Linked DNA regions of Mytilus edulis. The protein of the gene in region 1 interacts with the protein of each later gene in a biochemical or structural test. Links are inferred from orthologs where the notes say so. Each region holds a gene or a part of one and is shown in the gene's direction. Other genes may lie near its edges. The genes, in order: protein slit-like and roundabout homolog 1-like.

Region 1 (13,345 bases):
CCCACCTGCATAAGGAATATGCATTTTATATGTCATTCGGTATTCAAGAGCTTGCAGCCCCTACCCAGATTTTATAAAACGTGACCAGTGTCTGAACAGAAAGTTGATGAACAAGGGTTATGTCAAAGAACGTTTAGTGTTTTTTTTTTCTAAACAAAAAATCATCGGAAGATGACAAGACCTTGTTGGTAAATATTCCGTAACAACTTCCGAAATAATACATGATGGCCTTTAAATATAGATTGCACGTACTGACGTCGTTTATCATCTATATTACGCGTTATTAGTAAAGTCTTCTTGTATAAAGTTATCTTCGTAACTTATCAACATTTGCTGTTAAGTCCATTTTTATTTATACTCTTTTGGCGTAGCTCGGTATTCATACATCGCGCCAATGTGTTGTTGTGCTATTTTTTGTATTCTTGATTTTAATTTCTGCTTATGTGCTTTGTCTATATGAAAAATATAAAACATGCAAGGCCATGTACTTTAGTTTTTTCGTGGTAACCAGATAGTATCGTGGTGTCATCAGTTTCAGCAAACAGCATACAGTCAGGTAAACACGAACTGGCGATGTCATTTCATTTCCAGTACAACCATGAGCATCATGAGCATCATAACCTGAAACTGTGATGGTTCAGAGACAACACCATAAATCATCCTCTGCGAATGGCTAATTGAGTGTTCGATGATTTTCACATTTACAATAGCAAATATATAATACATATTCAGAATGATAATATTTGAAAAAAAATGTTAATATACCCGTCTTTGTATTAGACTGATGTGTTTCGATTTTTAAAACGCCGAGTTATTCTGATCCAAAATGAACACATCTCTGCAATTGGTCCTAAATGTTACATCATTGGAGCAGGAGTAGCAGATAAAAACAAGAACTATCTTTAAAAAAGATATCCGACGTTTTTAAATTTGAGTATATGTTTAAAACTATCATTTCGATAACCTTCAGAAGCACAATGACTTAATGATGCAGGACCTCTTTAAATAAATCTCCATCTGAATGTAACTACAAGAAGGCGATTGCAGTGCACTGAAAACCTGCATAGTTTGACACAATTTGTCCTTGGTGGCAACGCCCGTTCACTACCTTCATCTTGTGAACAACAATGCTCTAACTATCTAAAAATCAATGAATTACCAACAAAAGAACGTTACAAATTGTTTTGTGAATATTTCGATTAAATAACGTGTTCTCTGTTTTTGTTCAGTATTCTCGGTCCTCGTATCTTTCTGTTTACATTCACCAAAACCCCGCGGAAATCTCACATGCGTAGGTGCGTTCTAAAAGTCATGTACGTTCGTACAACAAAGTAAACATTAAAAATTATATAATTGTCCCGAATAAACAGCTGTCATGGATGCAAAGAGCTATTGGAGAAACAATGATTTTAATAAAAATATAAATCTTTGTAAGATCTAGTTCAAATATTTTTCACTTGCTTTCCATCACGATATAATTAACGTGACGTTTTTTTCAAACACAACCAAATCACCCACCATGACAGCATTTTGTCCAATCACAGAAAGGATTTTAGAGCATGCGTATTCTGTTGCCATAGTTAAGCGTCCTTAAGTTCAAAGGGCACAAACCGAAACTATACCGACTACGTCGAAAAACAATCTTTAATTATCTAATTTGAAGCAATCGGGTATCAAACACACGGCTTACTTCATTCGGAGTTGGAAAGCTATCATCACGTGGAACAATGCAGTCCAATACGAAAGGGGAAAGTGATGACTTCTATATTGAGTACTGTACAATATATACATTCAGACAGATTATCAACCAAATCTTGAAACTTCATTGTATCAGCATGATGATTAGCATAAGCAGTAATACTGAAAAAAACCTCCATATACGTCCTACCGTATAACAATAAGGATATGTGTACCATACGACTCTAGCAATAATGAGGGCCCTCATGGGGTTTTTGATTATGTGATTACTTGGTCGTTTTTTTAATGATTATTTGATTATTAAGCCAAATATTTCATGATTATTTGATTACCTAGGACTGTATTTTTAGTTTATGATTATTTGATTACTAAAGATAAGCAAATATTTAATGATTATGTGATTATATTGGCAAAAAAATGGTGATTATGTGATTACTAGGACCCCCCCATGAGGGGCCTCAATAATAGCAGCATAATTCTATCAAAAAAATCTTATCAATAGGTAATAGGACATTTTCATAAATGAGTTACATTTTCTGTAGTTAGAAGGACTTGTAATAGGAAAACGCGATGATTCTGTTTTAATCAAAGACATTATCTCTATATGTACATGATAAATTTTATACCATGTTCAGTGCGCACGGCGTCTGTTTTGAAGGAAAACTTCACTGGGTACCCTCGACTGAAAATACAAAAAGGGATCAGTATACATGCATCCTTGCCTAGATTTAAACTAATTCAGCTTGACACGGAAAACTCTACACTACGATTTGTCGTTCCCTATTGTTTATTTTCCTTTTTGTGCGATGAATATCTTTTCTACCATCATGCGGTGTTTGATATCAAAACTCGTTCGCTCGTTCGCTATACCCGTGTCTGTTGTGACGTTTTGGATTTCAATAAACGTATAGTAATCTATGTTTTACTGGTTAATTATTAATTCGGGGATTTCGTTACAAGTTACTTAAAAACTTTACCAAATTCTTCCATAGATATAAGATTTGGTTTTGAAGTTATTTTAAACGGGATAGCACATCCTATTTTTTACGGAGATCTATGTTATTTACCGAGCCCGTAAACTTAGAAACGATCGGGTAAACTTATCGATCCTTTTGATAAAATTATTCTTAAAGGTTTCAATTCAACACTGTTCTTATATCACTGATTATTATTTGTATTTGTAGTAATATTAATTTTTTTTATTAGTAAATCTAAACAGTAAAATCACAAAAATACTGAACTCCAAGAAAAATTTAAAACGGAAAGTCCCTAATCAAATTGCAAAATCAAATGATAAAACACTGAACATCAAACGAATGAACTACAACTGTCATATTCCTGACTTGGTACAGACATTTTCAAATGTAGAAAATGGTTGATGGAACCTGGTTTTATAAATCAAACTAAATATTATCTTATATCGTATGCAAATTCATGGTTACAATATGTCGATATATGTATCTTTGCACAAAGTCATGTCTTTTCTCTGACTGTTAATGACGCTTTTACACTTTATCTATTTAATGTTGGATGTGTACTGATCGATATGGGGTCCTAAATTTTAGTCCTAGATGCATGATTTTTTACGAGCCGTCAACTTTTGTCGAAAAAGCGAAACTAAGCGATCCTACATTCCGTCGTCGGCGGCGTATACAATTATTCACTTTGTGGTTAAAGTTTTTAAAATTTGAATAACTTTCTTAAACTATCCTGGATTTCTACTAAACTTGAACAGAAGCTTGTTTATGATCATAAGATAGTATCCAGAGGTAAATTTTGTGAAAAAAATATCCTGTTTTCCCATATTTTACTTACTTTTTCTGCCAGTTAACATAACAGTTAACATAACAGTCACTCTGTGGTTAAAGTTTCTAATATTTGAATAACTTTCTTAAACTATCATGGATTTCAACCAAACTTGGGACAAAAGCTTGTTTTTTATCATAAGATATTATCCAGAAGTAAATTTTGTAAAATCCTTTTTCTCCGTATTTTACTTATAAATGGAATTCTCTAAAACTGAGTTTTACTGTGCGTATTGTTGTGCGTTTGTTTTTTTCTACAGATAGAAGTAAAGGGGAGGGTTGAGATCTCAAAAAACATGTTTAACCCTGCCGCAATTTTGCGCCTGTCCCAAGTCAGGAACCTCTGCCCTTTGCTAGTCTTGTATGATTTTTAATTTTAGTTTCTTGTGTATAATTCGGAGTTTAGTATGACGTCCATGATCACCGAACTAGTATACATATTTGTTAAGGGGTCAGCTGAAGGACGCCTCCGGTGCGGGAGTTTCTCGCTGCATTGAAGACCAATTGGTGGCCTTCGGCTGTTGTCTGCTCTATGGTCGGGTTTTTGTCTCTTTGACACATTCCCCATTTCCATTCTCAATTTTATAAGGTTTTTTTTCTGTCAGGTATAACATAACATTAACTATAGTCTGTGTTTTTTTTTGCTTTTTTTTTTATTTTAATAACTTTCTTAAACTATCCTTGATTTCTCCCAAACTTGAAAAGAAACTTGTCTATGATCAAAAGCTAGTCTCTGGAAGAAACTTTTGTAAAAAAAATGTATTTCCTGTTTTTCTGTACGTTACTTATATTATGGACTTCCAGTTAACATTACAAACAGTCTGCAGTTAAAGTTCTTTAAACGTTTATTAGAGTCATAAAGGAGACGAGACACTGGGTTCCGCACAACCCTTACAATTTTTGTTTATATTGGTTGTCATTTGCTTTCGACTAGCTAGCTAGCAGTTACTGTAAGCACTATCAAATCTGTACTTATAGTGTCTTTTTGTTTTGGGATGTAAAGGTACCCTGCCACGTCAACTCTGCGTTTTGTTAGATGTATTTCTATTTTGCATCCATCTGGAAAAAATATATAGTTTGATCTTATGTTTTACTGTTACACCACTGTACCATATTAGAAAGGGTAGGTGCTTTTAATTTAACCCGTCACATTCTATTTCTGCCCGTCCAAAGTCAGGAGCATGTAAATCAGTGGTTGTCGTGTGTTGCTGTGTTATATATTTGTGTTTTGTTCATTTTTGGGGTACATAAATTAGGCCGTTGGTTTTCTCGCTTCAATTGTTTCACATTTGTCATTTCGTGGCCTTTAATTGCTCACAATGCGGGTACTAGTATTGGCTTTACTCATTAACCTATAGTTGTTCGATTTGTGTAATTTTGTCCCTTGTGCAGAGTTGTCTCATAGGCAATTATACCACATCTTCTTAATTTTATTTAAAAACATTTGCGATCGTAAAACCAATGTTTAAAAGACCTAAACAAAATAGTCCAAACTACATACAAAGGGCATATTTCGCCCTTATGAGTTGCATCGATAGTTGTAGTAACATAACACCGCCCTATTCAGTAACAGGGGAAATCAAGAAGTAAAGATATGTACTTGTAAGTCTCCTTGCTTATATAGTGATGAGCATCAAATCTAAGTTGAGGACAGTATTGTGACAAGCGTATAAACATAAATAACAACAAAATAAACATTGGGGGACAGTTGACCATTATCGATTGTCACCCTAGGTGAAGTTTTGTCATGACGAATGACGGTTTACTGGTCAGTGGACAGTTATAATGGTCATCTTCATCAAATTAACAAATGATTTACAGATACAATAAAATAATTGTCGTGTGAAAGGCCAACACCTTGTAAAAGTTGTAGGAGTTCGACAAGTGTATTCAATTGTCAAAAAGTCAATAGACAGACGAGTCGCTGCATGTACAATGGACGTCTGCTCAATTGGTTTCTATATCTTATCAAAGTACTCATTGAAGATGTCTGAAACAGTAGATTTTACCAGAGACATATATACACATATTTATATTTTTCATATTTTACTCATAAGGGTCGACTATATGACATATCACAAATCCATTACACATAAAAATTGGCTAAATAAGGGATTAAGATAAAATGCACATACAAATACACTGTTTTGGGGAAACTGTTTGACGGACATAAGCATCATTTTTGCAATTATATAGATAGCATAAAAGATAACACGTTTAAACTAGGGAAGTAGTCTGTCTTTTGTTAAACTAGGGTTTAGAATTAATAGTATTTGATTTATCTAGTCTCTCAAAAGTAATCTCGTCTATCTAAAATTTGATATTTTGATTATTAACAGGAAGTGTCCGAATTTCATTTTTTTTTATTGCTGAAATATTTAGTTTTTCCTATTTTTTCTTCATTTGTAATTATTTTAAAAAAAACTTGTATAAGTACAACTTGGGCCTTGCCTTGCATGTTAGTCAGACTGCTCAGCTATATGAAGTTTCATACCCACCCAAATCAGTACAAAATACTGATTTTGAGATTATATGGGTTCAGTGCATAAGGTTGTGTGTCGATGTAAAATGTAAACAAAGGAACTATATTTTACGACTGTTCGTTTATTTTTTTGGTATTATTTTTTTTTGTACCGCATTCTCTACATCTAAGACAAAACATGCTTTTCAGGGAATAAAGCAACATAAATCTACCATCACCAAGAATTTGAATGACCTCAGAGAATGATATAAATGGTCACAACAATCTTCATTTTTTTCCTCGTAAATTTAGTCTTGTACGAATTTTTATTTTTGCATAACAAAATTTGTTTTACCGTAGAAATCTCAGTATTTCATTATAAGACTGGCAGAACACTAAGGGAGATACCACGACAGATCAATGACAAATGAAACTTTCAAATTTCTATCCCATCTGTACTATAAGCTCGTCTAAATAATGATATTGCCAAATGTAATGTATGTCCATCATATATTTTAAAGAATACCGATAATGGACAGATAAACCATTTGTTCTCGTAATTAGTTCATTCACAATGTGTTTTTCTTGTATAACAATCAGAGCCGACGATTTTTTTGTCTTATGGCTGACATCGTTAGTGTCTAGTCCTGGACAGTTAAGACTAATTGTTTCCTCTCACGTCAATTACAGCATATTGTAAATGAGTCTTTTTCTGGCAGTTGAGTCCCCCTCGTTAATAAATTATATCCAACTATGCTGATGTAAAACCGAATAAGATAATATACTATAATCGATGCTGCTGCAATTTGTTTGTCTTTGGTCAGAAAATTTGACCAAGTATAATACCCAGAGATTTGGCATTGTATGCACATAATTGGGAATAGTTACATGCACATTATATAGACACTAGGCTGTTCAAAGATAAAAGCACAGCTAACATTATATTTATTTACTTTTAATTCACCCTAAATCCAACGAATCCACCGATGTTTTAAAAGAGGGATGAAAGATACCAAAGAGACATTCAAACTCATAGATTGAAAATAAACTGACAACGCCATGACTAAAAAGACGAAGTCAAATAAATATATAACACATTATATAGTTATAATTATTAACTAATTCCTCAAACCTCGTTTGAACAGGCATACGTTCGTCATTCCAAAGGAATCTTTTTGTCAATTGTTAGTTTTGTTATAAGAATATCTCATGAGAAATGGTGTTAATTCCTGTCATCTTTCTTATTCTTAGATTTGAGACATTAAGTCTGCGGATAGCGTGGAGTGTTGTTGTCTCATGGGGTTCTAGATTTCAGTATGTGTAGATCTTATATGTATTATAATCCTGCTTTTTTTCTCTGTTTTATGCCGATAAAATGTCAAAACTTACAAATAGAATATATAGAAAACATGTTATGGCATTCCAATTTTTAAACAACGTCGATATGCTACAAATATGAAATACTTTAAATTTTGCATCGATCATAAAGCGTTTTGTTAATTCGAACATATCACACAATTCATTTTGATTATTACTAGCATTACAGTTTTTATGCAACGTGATTATTATTTTTTAAAAATGCAGTACACATCAAAAATATTATATAATTGAGATTAACTTATACACGTAAGGCTATTTAGTATCATAAAAACTTGTTTCTTTTTATTTACATTTTCTGTCTACATTTCTTTTTCTTTTGTTTGACATCTTAAATGGAGGCTATAATTACAAAGTGTTACGGTAATTTCGGTCAAATACAAACTTCTTTTTTCTGTACGTTTTCTTGTAATTATAACAACATTTACGGAAATAAAGTTACTGTCCTTAGCCTTTATCAGACAAAGACATTTTGGTAATTGAGCTAATTGGTACACAAAAAATTTAAGAGTCGACTCGTAGAATAATACCATATGTATGAATTCATAATTAATAATAAAAAAAATGCAATATTTGTTTTTGATGTGGTATATCACCTGTCTAAATTGCTACCGGCTAATTTCATTGGTGTACGAAACAGAAAATAATCCCGCCCACCCCTGACTCGTGGAATGGATCATACCTATGTTAGTGTAATCACTGGAGTAGGGAGTTTTTGTGAAAAATTATAAAAATATGTTTTTGTTCTGATTGTCTAATGGATTATTTTTGATTGGTGAAAGTGGTTTGAAAAATTGAAGAAATTTATCAAATACCTCGTGGAGCAATTAACTTAAAGGAATATCAAGTTTAATAGTCAATACCTGAGTGTTTAAAGGGCTAGCCTTGCAATGTGATTGATTTTGTTGTATACTAGGAGTTTAAAATTTTTGTGAAAAATATAAAATATTTACTGTAAAATGGGAGGAAGACATCCATTCAAGTACCGATTTCATTGGATTTGTTTAATTAGTTTAATTGTGTATTTAGAAAGTGTTCTAGGATGTCCTACAGAATGTGTCTGTCAGGGTAAAAATGTGGATTGTAGTTACAGAAAACTGTCATATGTACCTACAAATATTCCAAAAGACACACAAAAGTTGTAAGTATTATGATTTAAAAGATAAATAGTGACGTATTGGGGAGCTTTTCGTATATTGTTCAGTTTCAGTGGACACAGTTTGTGTCTACAATTTTATTTGACAACGAATCGATCTAATTTTATTTCTCAGTTTCTTTTTATTGCATTAGCGAAAACCCTCAAACCATACGACAATTGAAGCTTTAATATTGTCTACTTTTGAGTTTGAATGTCCCTTTGGTATCTTTCGCCTCTCTTGTAATGCTAATTGCCTTCAAAATACTACCTAAGCAATAACAACTGTTAAATATAGATATAAAAGTTTTAATATAGAGACCTTGTTAATGTATGTCAGATTTACATATTTACATGTACATCAAAGGCAACATGTACGTTGTGCAATGTTATTTTTGTCACTACAGGAAATCCAACTATCCATTTGCAGCTTAATTGATTTTCGAAAGACAATTTTTAAATCTCTGTTTCATCTCAGTTTAAAACAATACCCAATCACACAAGGAATATCACGAATGCATTTAAGAAATTTTAAAAAGCCCTTTACCGATGGAAAAAAAGTTAAATAACAAAACTCTGATTTGGTAGAGGCACCCAAATCCATTCTATATGTTTATGATCTACTGAGTTTACAAGTTGCTCAACTTGCTTATAGTGCACACTTTTACAACGACCTTTAAGTATATAAACTTTTGAAGTATTATAATTCTATTATACATTCTGCACCGGATTTGAATTAAATTACTGTACATTTCAAAGTATACGCTTAAATAGAAATTAATCCGTCTGGGTTTATTGATATCAGTAAACCTGCATAATTCTCGTTTAGTGATTGTCTTATCTGATACATATCACAAAGAAAACAATCTTAAGTCAATAAAGTAATTGAGATATTTTGTTACTCCATGTTTTCACACATTATCTAACGGGCGACGGACGACTTTAACGTGACGACGTTGCCACAATGCTACATGTACATGGCCAATGATTTCTTACATTCAGATTAAACATAACAAGCCTATTGTTACTTCTATGGGTAATACCGTATATTTAACATACACAAACTGATAAATTATATATTGAACTATATTGACGTGGACATTTGTCTGGTAACCCCGGAAAGGTGGACGATATGTATAGACAAACAAGCAACAAACAATTTTTATTTTAAAGTATAATTTCATGTGATGTTCATAATTGAAAAAAATGCATTCTAAAGACATGTTTTGCTAAAAGCCTTTTTCTTAATGTTTCGTTAAATTACATGCAATACAACTATACCTTGTAAATATGCAGGCATTTTATATAAAAATCACTGCTAAATGATATCCATAAAGGAGCATATAAAATAGATATAGCATCAATGGAATAAGATAAATCAGGTTTGAAAAGCGACTGATTTATTTTCATACTAAAATTGATTTTAATGGACAAATATATCAGAGTACAAATTGTATGCAGAGACATATATACGTCTCTGTTGTATGTGAATTCTTAAAAATTCCACTGCAAAAAAAAAAAAAAAATACCCCAAGAGAGCATAGTATGTAAACAAAAGTCACAGAAGTTCAGTTAGAACAAAAGTTATGGTTAGCAATATCCAGGGATTCTTGTTATTTTCACAATTTTGTCAAACAAACTATATGAGTATTTTTTAACAATTCACTAAACACGGTATCAATGGTAAAATATTGGCAAAAAAAGTGCAATGCATAACACTGTATTTCTTTCACGACAATGACCAATTAACGTTTTATCCCTACAGGCAAATATCTACAGGCAACCTTTACATCTACATAGGTATTTTTACAATACCTTGAAGTTTTACTCAAATACGTAGATTGTCCGCCAAACTCAGAACATATTACTGTCACAATATTATAATGTTTGTTTTATTTTTTTACAGAGAACTCCAAGGAAACAATTTGACAATTATGAGAAAGAATGATCTCCAGGGTCTGAGACAATTAAAAGTATTGTAAGTCATCATACATCGGTTCTCTTTAGATGAATAGACATGTGCAAGTCCTCGTTTTCCGTTAAAAAAATCCCGATTTATTTTACTCGAATAATTCATTTGATAAATTTCAATCGGAGAATGAATGCAAGAGATGCTTTCAGCTCAAGATTATAATCAGTTGAGTGACACAAATTAAAATATATATCAAGACCTACATGTATACATTTTATATATCCTTTTGGAACCATCAGGGTTAGCGTGCAAAACCCGAAACAAAACCACACTTTAGCTGGGACTATTTTATTATAAGTATAATAGTGTCACACTTTTGGAAATGATCGATTCTGTGAACTCTGTATTCCCATTTCTGCTCGATCACACATCAACTTGCATCTTACGAGTTGCACTATATGTCTAAATCTACTTTAAGCCAAGAACAATTGATCGAAAAGAGGTTATATTTCGGCCATAAGAATTAAACAAACATTTATATTTACATTCGGTAATCCGTCTTTCTTCACAGGTTATTTGACAATTTCTGAAGTGATATGCTAAATATAAAATCTTACATCACTTTGCGCTTTTACAAAAGAAATAGATTTGGTTTTAACACCTTCGTTTTATAACCATTAATTCCAACACAAACAAACCAAGATATATGGATTATTAGCGGCAATTAAAGTAAATTTCAAACACTGATACCCCAAATGGGATTTAGAATGAAACAGCCAAAACACGAGGAGATCGTCAGCTTTTCCATGATAGTTGTCAGTTAAGTGTATCTGTACATATGTATCGGTATTGTATTATCGACGCTAAGTCAAAGCTCGTTAATATCTTCCCGATATGTAAAGGAGTTATCCTCAGAAAAGATATAAGAAGATGATATTAGTGCCAATGAGACAACTCTCTATCTAAGTCAGAATGTATGTTTACATATCAATTAAAGAAAAAACATAAACCTTGGTGTGGAATTTTGTTTCAGAATAGAAATAATATTAAGTCACGGTTGCATAGAATATTAATGATTCCTCCAGACCCCACTGTAATCAACAAACTCTGACTTTTTATAACGAGGATATCATGTCTTAACATTAATGTGCATAGCGTAGGATACAAATCTTCATTTTATGATCTAAAACTTCCCTGCTTAATATGACTTTTTTTTAAACCACCACATCGAACATTCGACATCAGCTGTTGAGCACCGTGTACTGTCTTCGGAATTTTATATAGTACTGTATATGTCATGTGTAAATGCCACTATAAAGAAAACTTGCAGATATTGTGTCTTCACAAAGTTAATACTGTTACTTTCATTCAATCTGATTAAAATATTGATCTCTGATTACGTTATACTACATATGTAGTATAACGTTGACTTTGATTCCGAATTAGGTCGTAATTATGTGTAACAGTCTTTTTTTTTATCAATAAGTTCTAAAGCTTTTGTTTAAATCGCTCCCTTTCGCATGGCAAAGCAATTATGTATCTTTATCTATATCAGAAATTCTTCTTTTTTCTCCATATTTAACAGATCTACCACCCATGCAGATTAAAATCGAACTTGGATAAAATTTCATTGCACCTTTATTTTATTTTTGTAGGCAATTGTTAGAAAATCAAATCCAGACAATAGAAAGAGGCGCGTTCCGTGACCTTGTCCTCATGGAAAGACTGTAAGTACAATAAATTCTGTGTATGTACTTTTAAATGGGAAATAAGAAAAAATACAAAAAAGTTTAAAATGCATGAACTTAAAAATATATATATATATTTATGAAAGCAACAATATGTTTGTAGTTATTGTAGTATAATAGTCCTTAGTATTATAGTCCCAGGCCTAAGGTAAAGAATTAAAAAAAAAAATATGTACAACGTTTGAAATTTCAAGTTCGGACTAAAACAGACACTTTCTCTGTATTGCAATGCTGTTGTACATCATGGGAAAGCCTTTTTGCTGCTGGCGAGTGATAAATACGTGATAATTGAAAATTAAACAATTTGATTTTTGACAAATTTACGACTTTGATTTGTACATCAGATAGCCGTAACCCTGAGGGCTTTCTATTCATATCACTAATTTTTATAAGTAATTAGATTATGATCAAACGATTGGTTAGACAACGTAATTTGGTGCTAAATCTTTTTGACACCTGGATAAAAATTCCACGGGCATTTCAAAAACATAAGTGGGCAGACATTGTGACTACAAATTATCACAATAACGGTCTTTTCCCGGAAAATTATCGTGTCCATTCAATGATAATTATACTTTTAGTTTAATGACTTCCGGGTTACTGCATTTGTTCGACCAGAGACATATCGTCGCTGTTATGCAAAAACCTCGTATCTAAGGTTTTCATAATTTTACACCAGGCAATAAAAACTGATTTTTTTTATCGATTATTTAGAATTAAATATTTATGTTCCAATGTATGCAAAAATATCGTATCTTCTAACCAATCAATTACCAAGGCGAGCAAAAATTTCTGCACCTATATTGTATTTTCTAAGCTATACATAATATATTAGACAAAACTGAACCTGTTATAATCTCAGCTGCTAGTGCCATCTTTTTTTTCTTTTGAGATATGATATTTTCGCACAACAAAATGTCTCACCAATCCGACTACACTTTTTCGTCACTTGTCAGAATTCGGGTTAATGATTGGTTAGAAGATCAGATATTTTCGCATTCAGTGGAACATACATATTTAATTCTTAATAATCGATAAAAAGATTTCCGCAAAAAATTGAGATACGAGGTTTTTGCATAACAGCGACGATATATATATATATATGTGTGTGTATATATGTCTCTCAGTCTGGTTCGACTAAGGAAATTAGGAAAATAACATTTTATACTATAGAGCACACTCACTTGTTTTAAAACTCTTAACATTTTA
Region 2 (13,009 bases), on another chromosome or scaffold:
TATGACCAAAATTTTAAGTTGACCCCTTAAAGAGTTATTGCCCTTTATAGTCAATTTTTAACAATTTTCATAAATTTTTGTATTTTTTGTTAATTTTTAAAAAATATTTTCAACTGTAAATACTGGGCCATGTTTATTATAGATATATCTATAGAGATAATTGTAGCACCAAGAATGTTCAGTAAAGAAAGATCTACAAACACATCCCCATCATCAAAAACACAATTTTGTCATTTTATATATGTCCGTTGTTTAATATGCACATAGACCGTCCAAGGTGAGCGACACAGGCTCTTGAGAGTCTCTAGGTCATTAATACAGGTAGATAACTTTATCATGTTTATACTGAAAAATAATTTTGCTTGGAGGGAGAATTTTAAAAAAGTTCTGTCTTCAAAAGAGTTGACATGTTACTATGTATTTCCCTGGGATATGTTTTCCTTTGCCGTGAAATTCTATCTGGGTAGTTAACTTATTGAATAGTTATTAGAAAAAAACTTATCCTTCAAAATACTATGAAATAATAATAGTGTATTTGAAATAAAGCGAAATTGTTACAAAAAAAAAATGTATTATAATGAGAAATAATTTCACAAATTATCCTTGAAAAAATTTCCTTAAATATTCAAGTCAATATCATCCTTTTAAAAAAGAAAATTATCATGAAACATAGGGAAGAAAACCAGAAGTAATTTCAAAGATCGTAATTGTGAAAATGATATCATGATTAAATAAGGTTAGTGAAATACCGATGAAATAATATCATGATTAAATAAGGTTAGTGAAATACCGATGATGTAAAAGTGAGTTGTTTTCAGATCTCAGTACAAATATACATTTAAAAGTAAGGTAGAAATATAGTTGCATTACTACTGTTAACAGTAATAGAAGAATTTGATTATGATGATATTTTTAACTATATAAATAGTTTTGTCTGGAGACAGAGATGTAGTTGTTGATTATATGGAAATCAGATAAATCATAGCATAATAATATATTGGAACAAAAGCATGTTTAACAGCTGGATAGTTTTTACCTGTGAAATGTTATCTGTCTTATAAAATCAAGTTGTAAGTCATCTTTTTATATAAATGAATATATAAAAAATAAGATTGAAGGAAAAATTTCACTACAAAATAGATTCAGAAATATATATTAATATCTTTAAAATATAAATTGCTCATAATTACCTCCCTTTGATAAATTATGCAAATTTGGTCTACCTTTGTGAAGTATTTTATAATTATAGTCAGGTATATATTGATTGTGAGTAACTTACATAGTAGTTAATGGGACTCTATTTCACACGGTTCTGTGAAATATAGTACGGCAAATATAGACCGGTACATACTATCTGCATAACACAGATAGATTTTCACTCCTCTGGAAAAAATCAACCTGTGAAATACCATGCCTGGAAAAAAATTACCGGGACAAATTATCCTCAGGATAAAATATCACAGAGGAAGAAATAAACTGTTACACATTAACCATTATGTTACTTGATGTTCTAGCAATACACACAGAACGGAGACTAGTCAATCTTTGTGAATTATTTTTCATAGGATAGGAGTAATTGAATATGTGTATATAATCAATAATTAAAAATAGTTTTATTTACATTAAAAAGGAAAAGTTCTTATGTCTTAAAAATGCATTTCATGGCGAGGTACAGAAAATATACAGTAAACAGTAGACTATAGATATAGGTGAACTAGGTACAAGAGAACTCTAAATCTTAAATACTACAAACCACCTCTGTTCTATGTAAGATAATGATATAACTGGACTAGAAATACACACAACCTGTAATTAACTGCCTTTACAGCGCTTTCGCGCTTTGATTGATGAAGTTGAAGTCTAATCAACTTGAAACTTAGTACATATGTTCTGTATGATATGATCTTTCTAATTTTAATTCCAAATTAGAGATTTAACCCCATTTTCACGGTCCACTGAACATAGAAAATGATAGTGCGGATGGGGCATCCGTGTACTGGGGACACATTCTTGTTAGACCTGAAAGGAAACTATACTAACCTTACCAAGCCTCAATTTTTGTGCCTCCTTGCAGGTTTTTTTTTTAACCATTTTGAAATGAAAACTTATACAAGTTTAAACAATGTTCCATCTGGAATTTTGAAGAGTGAGATATTTGCCTACCATTTGTGACTAATTTTATTTTATAACTGCCATGAGAAAATGGATATTGTTTTTTTGCTCATGTAAGAAATATGTTATAAACAAATTAAAACTGTATTAAAAATGTGTTAATCCAAATGTAACTTATAGCCTACAGATAGAAAAACATCGTGTAAACTATGTAGTTATTGTCAACCCTTTCATTAACTTAATGCATTTGACAATTTGCCTCCCCATTTTCAATCAAGAATGAAATACTTCTAATGCATATTATGACTTTGCAAGTTAATAATGTCAATTTCAGTGGAGGGTTCCTCATTACCTAACTGATAAACCTATTAGAGTTTAATATTAACAGCAGAAAACATTTTACTTGAAAAATCGGTACTTCCTGCTTAAAAAGCCAAGGGCGGAAAATCATGTCATTCTGTACTACTATTTAATTTGAAATTATGTTGAACATTCCCGTAAGCTTACGATAAAAAAATTATCGTATTTAATTTTCCTGATGGTGATCTACTGGAAACATTTTTTATTTGAGTTTAAATGGAATAGTAATCATGGTTTGAGGTGATTTTATAAACATGTTTGTGGTAGAGCAGGGTTAAACATTTTGTTTTAAGGGTTATATATGCAGATTATTATTGCTTGATTCCTTGATAAATATATAACCTTAAGAGTGAACAAGAAAATAATAATAAAAAAAAAAAAAAAAAAATCAATTGTATTTTGAATGACTTGTATAATAGTTGAATTGAATTGAACTTGAATAAACTAGAATTTTGAACATGGAAATTTATTGTTCATGTTTCAAAGTAGGATTTCCATATTTTTTCTCTCATAAGATGTTTTATTGACTAGCTTATAGATGTTGTAAAAAAAAAAAACTAAAAAAGTTTCAACTAAATGTGAAACTGTGCATAGTGAACTGATTTTGCATGATTTTAATTTTTTTTCCAGCCACAAAACTCTAAAAATTTATCAAAAAGACCAGATTTACAGCAAGGATCTGGAAATGTTTCCACTCAATTTCTGCCATGAGATAAGTTCAAAGTTGGTGCAAGTTTCACAAACAAAATTGTTGAAATCGCACTAGATTCATAGCAGTTATCAAGAATAGTTGAGGGAAGGCAACAGTTTAAAAATGAAACAGTTCTAATGACTCAAAACGGTAAACTTCTTGGACATCACTAACTCTAATGATTCAGCGCCCTCTATCTGTCAGTGTCCTTGAGAAAAGTTCTTTGAAAAATGAAAATTCTCTAAATGTGGAATGTTATCAAACAATTTGTATCAATATTTAAAAGACTTTAGGCCCCACAATAAAATTGAATATGCTGTCAAAATACATTGACTGTATTGATTTACCTGTTGCTGGAGTAAATACAAATGATTATTGATATAGATTCTTTAAGAGTTAAATGAGTATGAAAACTGTTGTAAATAGACAATCCCATATATTCAGGCAATAACCTAATAAAGTAGAAATGTATTAAATACAACAGTTGGGTCGGTATAAAAAAATATGACAAGTGTAAAAATGGACCTGTTGGTTCTCACGCCTCCCTTGTCATATACCGATACATCTTTCCTTCACAAGATAAAACCTAATTAATAAAATCTTCAATATGAACAATTCCATTTATGTACTTTGTGGCCAGAAATATGACGAGCATCGTTGAATGAATCAATCTGACAGATTCTATTATATATGTTCTGAGTGAGTAATCGCCATTCTGATTACTGTGTCCAAATTGAAACGATACTATCTTTATGCATGATCCTGCCACCACGATATAACCTTCTTATAAATATACATCATTTTTTGTGTTAATCCGGGCAACAAGAGGGCATTTCTTCCAGTTTCTCATTTAGACAGCTAATTTATAATTTCCGCTTGTTTTGCTGATAATGTTTGGGAATTAAGTTTGGTTTATCTGTGTTTTCCTCCCAACTATCATCAGCTGATGATTTTGTGATTGATTATTAATCAATGACTCTACGTCAACGACACCCTTGATTAATACAGTACACTACAATAGTACTAATGTCTGTATCCTTTGTCAATAGTTTGTATACACCCTATACTTACTGATGTTCTATTCTACTCTGACCTTTGTGTTGTGCCAGTTATTATTGATACAGAGAACTGTCAGTATAATTTGTCTGAAATGAGATTGGAATTTCCTCATGGTTTGTTACATATTAGATAACATTGTCTGGCGGTATTTCCATAGATCAAATGATTGGTCAGTGATAGGATTGATTGATTAATAAGTTTGCAAATTGAAGAAAAATTAGCTCGCCTAGTTTGTATGGAATTGGTTAAGGAACCATGTTTGTTTGGTTACAGAATGAGAGATAAGAGTTTATTAGTTCAGGAGGAGAAATAAAAGGAGAAAAATTGTTCCATGAGAACATTTAACAAGCCTAATACTAGATTTGATGTTTTAATCAGCAGAAAACTTATACAAAGTTGCAAATGGATTATACTCACTTTTTTGTGTGTATGCTTTACCGTTTGTATATCTATCCACTTATGAATATGTATAAGGAATATGTGTTCCACCCAGCCTTAACATTCTTGCCACAGTACACTTAGTGTAATTCAGCATAATATACTTCAAATAGTGTTGAACAGTTCAGTCTAAATCAGGATGATATCTGGTTTCTAAATCAGTAAATGTGCTAATCAACTTATTTAAAAGAATTATACTCCTTGGAAAAATTAATTCTATAGAAAATAGCATTGTAAGTGCTCTCTTGAGTACAATACTTCCCAGATATTTATGAAATTTATATTGAAGGTTAATACAAGAATGTTTTGATCAGTGATTTGTACAAGATTTCTGCCCTTAATATTGTAAATTCTATAGAAAAATGTTAGTGCCCTCAAATGTCCAATTATTGCCAGATAACAATAATTTATATCAACAATTTATATCAAGAATGTCTCAAATGATTTAAAAAATCAGCACTTATCAACCATTTTACATGATTATTCCCTTTAGAAACATTAATTTCATAGAAAATGACAATGTAAGCACTCTCACACCTACATTTCTTTGAAGGATTGTTATGTTTATATCAAATGTTAATACAACAACCTGAGTTAGTTTTTAATGTGCTAGTTCACAGGGTAACAGACTGGAGAAAGACTTGTCACCATTCTTGGACTAATTATTCCAACTGAATCATTCTTTGGTCTTACTTTTGTTGCCATGAACAGACGACATCAACCATCAACGTGGGACACCTCTGAAATAGCAAACATATAAACAAAGACAAACAACATTGAACAACACGTGTGGACAAACTTGGTACAGGCACAAAAGTTGGTGCTGTTGATTAAACCTGTTTTATGCATAAACCTCCAACTTAGACTTTCAAGTTCCATACGTCACAAAACTTTTAACACAATAAAAATCATTCACATTAAATTTACTAACATGATAACCAGTAACTGGAACAAGAAAATAAAAATGGCAAATAATCTAGAAAGCGGGAGCAAATGAATAACATGTCTGTAGCGAAAGAACTAAAACTAGTTTAAATATATATCATTTACCAGTGTTTTAATTTTGGTTTACACTACAATGTCCGAGAGGTATGGTGAGAAATACTGCCTGGGACTGAGTTTAAAAGTTTAAAGAAATGACACAATATGGTAATGTTGACCAAACTTGGTGAAGTGCTTGATCTTTGATTGAGATTGATCTCTTTATAATTTCAGGGTTTTAGGTCCAAGGCTTAGTGTGAGAGAAATTGCCTGAGTCTACATCAACCTCAGAAGAATGTATATGAATAGTTATGGATGAACCTACTGGGTAAATAGAGTTCACGGTGAGAGGTTAAGGGTCTTATAAAGATTACAACAACTTGCTGTATAGTGCTTGCTTGTTAAGTACAGAGTAATTTTGCACATATTCAAGATGAAATTAAGATGAGATTTCTGAAACAAAACATTGACAAATGCAGTTCTAACTTGATTTGATTAGAGTTATATGATATGCAATGGCATTGATTTGGAAATGGCTTTCTTACAATTTTATGCTTGGTAGGTTTTGTTAGATGTAAGCAACTTTAGAAATTGTCCAAAAAGACATATTGTCTATCAAACAATGTGTCTATAGCCATTAAATATTTGAATGTTGTTCTCAGTAACTGTTAACCAGAATTACGTCAGATTTTGTCAACTGCTTCACTGTGATGATTTGCAATGTGTCAGGCGTTTGAGGATCTGCTAAACACCTGATTCCTGGTTACTGATACTTTAAATTAGGAGTTTTAGTATCAGTTAAGCAACTTATTGTATTATTCTAAAATTATTACAGTGTTTTGGGATAAAAAATATAACAGTGGTTATTTTAAAGTTTCCACTTTGCTAGAACTATATTCTCTGACCTACTGTACATTAATTGTAGCACACTCAAAGTTCTGTAGCTTCATTTATTTTTCGGGAATGAAATAAAGTTGAATTTTGGTGGATATTTGATTTGTGTTTTTACAAAAGACTGAATACAAGTCAATAGACAATTTGTACTTGGTTGACCTTTTAAATCTGTGGCTCATATATACCAACAAAATCCACCTATTTAATTGGTATCCAACTAGCAATAAACAGGGTTCTCGCTAAGGATTTTTGAAGGCAAGTCCAGGGATTCATCATTTTTAGCCATGATGAGTCCAACAGAAAGAAGAAAATATTTTATTGCAATATAATGTAATATTTTAGTCTCCATTTCCTATTCATGCTAACACAGCAATGAAATGACATTAAATTCAGATCACTTTTAAACTTTTGCTATAAAATGATGATATTTGTGTTTAACTGTGTTCAGTTTATACAAAATATTTCAATCTTGATGCATCTGTGGACTCACCAGTTTTGAAAATGGTGAAGCCAGACAGATTTTGATGAGTCCAGGACTCATGGACTCACCTTAGTGAGAACCCTGAATAAATCCACAGTACCATATATTCCAATATTCAAGTAATAAGCAAATTGATTAATGTACTAATGGGATCCACCATTTGTTACAATAACATATCCAAATAATTTTGTAGTAAACAATTACCTTTATTTGATCATAAAACAAAATTGTATATGATATACAGTTAATTTGTAAAAGTCATATTTTCATATTCTGAAATATTAACTGCTTCCACAAAAGTCAGATTGTAATTTGATTTCTTGTAAGGGAATTTCATGCATTGTAACTTTCATTCTATTTTCACATAGGGTAGTTATACAAATAACTATAGCTATGATACTATCTCTAATGAAATTAAAAGTCATTATACAGGTTGGCGGCTATATAAATTAATTCCCAGCGGAAGTTTAGTTGTCATTACGATATCATCAATTCTCTAATTGACTATTTATGATTATCCCCCTTCCTTATCAAATAATATTTGTAAACCATCACATTCGCTAATCGAATTTAGTTCCGGTTATATTTGATAGATATGCAATTTAGCTTTCGTCTATTTGGAATAGAAATGTAGAACAACTTGAAGCAAGATCAGCTCCATCATTATTTTTTTTATTTATTTGAAATGTTGTGAGATGTGTAAATCTTTATAGATAGTTACATCATATAAAAATCTGAGCAATGTAACTTAATTTAAATCACTGGTTTTGAGATGAACAAAATTTTATCTGAAGTACAATGTAAGATTTTCTTGAATGATTCTCGAGAATGATTGAAAAAAAATCATTTACATGTGTGCAAACAGTCAGTTGGTTTCATTTATTGTTTGAAAAAAAAACTTGAATGTTTAATCTTCATATAACTACAAGAAGGAAGAAATACCTTTCTAGTTGATCAATGTTTGTATTTGAAGAAAAAAAAATGTAATGTATATGTAACATAGGATAGAAAGAAATTGTTATTAAAAAAAGTTATTTTAATGACTTATAATTATTGTTCAGTAGAAGATCATGTAATATTTGCCACTGGATGATAATCAATCCAAAATCACTATTGTTCAGTACTAGTTGTACAGAGCAAGGTTGTCCGCGCTCCAGACTTGCCCTAGTCCTGCGTTTATTATTTATTGCCGAGTTTATGAGCTTCGATCCTTACTTGGAAGTTGACAAGTTGTACTTACAAAGATTGTTTCTTTTTATGGTAAACTCTTTCACTCTATTGTTTATTATTTAAAAAATTAGAATAGGATTTTTTAGGGTATAATGCGAAAGATCAAAACTTTTTAAATCTTCTGTTGCATTTACTTCAAGGTAAATAGGGTCAAATTTATGCTAGAATGACTAGACTATAAATAAACAGAAGAGGTTATAATTTTCATGTTTTTATTATCCAATTAACTTACCTGTCCCAAGTCAGGAGCCTGTAATTCAGTGGTTGTCGTTTGTTTATGCGTTACATATTTGTTTTTCCTTCATTTTTATTTACATAAATAAGGCCATTAGTTTTCTTGTTTGAATTGTTTTACATTGTCTTATCAGGGCCTTTTATAGCTGACTATGCGGTACAGGCTTTGCTTATTGTTGAAGGCCGTACGGTGACCTATAGTTGTTAATGTCTGTGTCATTTTGGTCTTTTGTGAATAGTTGTCTCATTGGCAATCATACCACATCTTCTTTTTTATATTTACATTTAAATTGCAGTCTCTGTGCCAATAGATTGTTGCAAATTAAGTGGAATGACAGAGTTATATGTAGCTGTTGTTGTTTTGATTTCTGAGCTGTATTTTGGTATTTGTTCAGATCTCAGTTACTGTCTCAATTTGTTCCAGTTTTTACCTTTTCTGCATTTAAGAGATTGAAAGTTGTTATAGCATTACTTTTTGAATTTTCAGATTAGAATTCTAATTACTTGCTTGAACAGCATTAAATTTAAAATATCCCATTTTAACTTGGAAGTGACAGTGAAGAATACTGTTCGTGTGTTCTCAGTGGGAATAAGATTTGTTTCATTGTGGCTATACACACAGATAGAAGGTTAACTATATTCTGTGTATACCATGATTTTAGAATTTACCTGTCTGTCTGTCAGGGTTAACCTGCCCTTGACCTCTTTTCTTAGTTAATTGTAAATTGGTAAATGTAATGTTTTCATACTGACCACTTAGCTCACTGGGTTTATATTTCAATGCCTGCCCCTTTGCTGCCTGGGGTTACACAAGGCTGCTCCAGATAGTAGAGTTTCTGGTCTCCAGAGGATTTTTATCAGGTAGTTAAAGTAAAACTTGTTATCTGAAGGTTCAGGATAGTACATGGATGATGATGGTATGACACTGTGTGTTACACATTTCTTGACGTAAATCAAGGCCATGATGATAATTCATCAAACATGTATTTACCTTTGTGCTTTGAGTGATAATTGCAACAGTAATTCATATCAAATGTAGAATTATACAAAAATGTTGGAAGAAATTTGTTTACTGGAATGTTCTCACAACATGAGAAAATGTTATTTTATTGTCATTTGCCACCTAAAGCATTTATCACTACAAAGTTATGTAATGTAATCACAATATCGGCAGATAAATGACTAATTTACCAAAAAAGTATACTTCATTTAATCATAGATGCATTGATTGGAGCACAACAAATTGTCAAAACAGATAGATTACTCACATTTTTTACGGACAGAATAGATTCATTATGATACTTTTTTGTTCACCAAAGAAAAAAAACCACAAGACAATGCTAAAGGCTTTAGACCTCATTCTGACATTTAAATTGTCATATGTTTACATATAAAGTTGCAAAATATTTAGAAATATTGGCAAAATCTTATAATCAATGCTAAATTTGTTTCAAAAATGCAGTTAGTAATTGAATGGATTTGATTTTTTTTCCCAACCTGAATCATTCATATTGTTCAAGAATAGAACATAGAATACACCAGTTTTAAGGAAATCCTTTAATTGCTATAAATAAGAATAGGAAGAGAATTATCTCTCGTCTAGCTATAAGAAAATCTAGTTAAATCGGCACAATAAACAGTAACCTTATTACACCCTTCCTGTCATTTTCTATTTGTTTCCTACATTTTTTTCTACATTGATTTTTTAATCCACTTATTTAAACCAAAACATAATTATATTTTTTGGACATCTGGTAAATGAGAAAAGTAAAGATTTTTTGTTTACATTGTGAGCCACCTTCTTTTAGAAATCTTAAAAGAGATTTCTGGTTGAAAAGATGTTTTAACGAACAAAAGCTATAAAAGTCCATTGGTGAATGAATAGTGAAGGAGGTTTAAGGGATCAATTTGAAAGGTTACATTTAAGCGACTAATAACTGAAGTGGACAAAAAGATTTAATTTTGTGTAACAATCATTGATTTGGCTAGTTTGAAAGCATGCCACCAGCAGGAGATTCATCAATCCCATTGTATGCATTTAAAAGTTTTTAAGCTGAAAGTTGTATTTTCCTAATATATGACATGTGTTACATTTTTAGACGCATGCAAACTCTGGTATTTTGACAAGAATGAAAAATGTTGTGCTTAAAAGGCATGCTGCTGCACATAAATAGAATGACATAAATCATAAACAGTCTAATGTAATGACCTTTAGCATAAAATGGGTGTTTAAGACCTATAAAGACTGTTTAATGATACATTTCAAACAGAGTCCGATTGTACTTTCCGCAGTATGAAGGGTAAGAAAATGTATATATGTATAAAACATCTTCTTTATAATTTTTGTAAAATGGGTATTAATGTTTATGTAATAGGGATCATCAGACAGGATAAAGAAATTGTACTAAGATACCTTATAATTATATATATATATAGGTGCATTATAGTACAAGTTGAAAATAAACTCATCATAGATACCAGGACTAAAATTTTACACTTACACCAGACGCGCGTTTCGTCTGAAAAAGACTCATCAGTGACTCTCGAATAAAAAAATGTTTAAAATGCCAAATAATGTACGAAGTTGAAAATATAACAGTTTTCAATATCATTCAATGATTTTGTGGAATATTTAGTGAACTTTTTATTATTATTTTTACTCTGATAACTTATGTGTAAATTATACCACAAAAGATACAAAACATTATATACTGTATTCATCATTCAGTTGCCAGTCTGAGGACACATATTAGATAATACACTCGTACCTTTAGACCTCACTGGAAACTGCCTCACTAAAATTACTTTCATTGAGGAGACTATTCTGGAATTGGGATTAATAAAGTAGTCTTTTTATGGCTCGCAACAAAGTTATTGGTGCCATATAGTTTTACCCTTGTCTGAAATTCCGTAATTCCGTCATTCCGCAACAAACCCTTATACAGATTTTTTTTTTTTACGGGGCCATTCATGTCGCTTTGACATATCTATTTTTTCTTAATATCAAATTATACTACATGGAAATGCCAAGAGGTAAATAAAAAATCACAAGTTGAAGAGAGGCAGACAACACATTGATTGGTCAAATGAAAATAGAAAAAAACGATAAAAAACAAAACCCAACTGTTCATAGAATGCTACACAGAAAGATACAGGTTGAGCAATACCAACCCCCAAACGAAAACTGGGAGTAATTTCAGGTGTTCAGAAAGTTAAACAGATCCTGCTCTTCCCTTGATTACAGTCATGTTAATCATGGCATTACAAATTGTGTGATACCTTCACCATAGAGAATATCTGAAAGGAGGTATGGATAAAGACGAAACATTTGGAATGTATCCTTGATATCATTGATAAAGAATCCATAACTGTTAATAAATCTTGATAGTGTTAACAATAACAACTCACAAATAAGTATTGCATTTTTTGAAAAATCTTCTAGAAAATCTTGCTGTTTCCCAATGAATATACACTTTTAAGTCACATGCATGAAATGAATTAAAGTGTTTGATCTCCATTTATTTAATATTTCAAAATAAAAAATGTACACTATCAAGTACTGTAGATTCATTATTATTTGTGAGGTACCGATTTTATCAAAATTTTTATGGAAATACAATCAACCAAGAATTCAAATCTATAACAAAATATCAACTTCCTTCAAGTACTGCAGTGTATGCAGAATTTTTGAAAACCACAAAACAAAAAAATCTGCATTAATCAATGTAAGTTGGTACCTGTTAAAATGAATGAATTCACAGCTTCATTAATGTCAAAGTTGAGGGTAATTCAAATTTTTTTTCATTTTTCTGAGTTCTCTTTTTTGTTGTTGATTTTGAAATCTTTTATTTTTATATTTTTTATGTTGATATTGTTTTTACTTTGAATAGATTTCCTGCTCTTGATGATTATGTAGTGAATTCCATTGTCGAAAAAAAGGACAAAGTCAGTATGATTATTACGTGTCATTTCTCTCTGTGAAAATAGTGAAGTATTGGAACCATAGTCTTCATTCCATGTTGATTGAAAAGGTTTGTTTCTTAATTAGAATGTTATTTAATAATCTATTGAAGCTTGAAAAAACTCCCGCTATTCTCTATATATATAAACTAGACTGTTAAATATCATGTCTATGGTTAGGTTTTCCTTGACTTGCTGCTCACCGAGAATACATTTTCCTAAGCATTGAATGGAGACCTCTTCTGATTTAACTTCTATCCTGCTGTAAACAGGTTGTTAAAAAGATTTCAAATCTTTGATCTTTTTTTACGCTTGACAGAATTTTGCATCGATTAACGGAAAATCTGAATCCGAGAGTGGAAATTTGATCTCTTTCCCATTGTGTAGGCAATAGTATTCCTCCCCATGCAACATGATGTTATGTTATTAATTGGCTAGCAAATGAACTGTGCTCATCTGATGCAGGAAACGTGAAAATGGATTTTAGTTAAGTGAACATTTATATTAAAGACGAAAATCTGACATGGAATGAGTGATGAATCTTTATGTTAACTGGTGTGGAACTAGCG

Evidence for each region.
Region 2: the proteins of protein slit-like (region 1) and roundabout homolog 1-like form a complex in vitro, tested with the Drosophila melanogaster proteins (2 studies listed by BioGRID). The link is inferred for Mytilus edulis from reciprocal best matches to the Drosophila melanogaster genes sli and robo1.

What each region holds. Positions count from the first base shown.
Region 1 is NC_092347.1:16,749,318-16,762,662, reverse strand, and holds the start of protein slit-like, read left to right. Parts: upstream 1-8,002; 5' UTR 8,003-8,300; coding exon 8,301-8,482; intron 8,483-10,382; coding exon 10,383-10,454; intron 10,455-12,043; coding exon 12,044-12,115; intron 12,116-13,345.
Region 2 is NC_092348.1:87,628,906-87,641,914, forward strand, and holds the start of roundabout homolog 1-like, read left to right. Parts: upstream 1-5,872; 5' UTR 5,873-5,985; intron 5,986-12,370; 5' UTR 12,371-12,511; intron 12,512-13,009.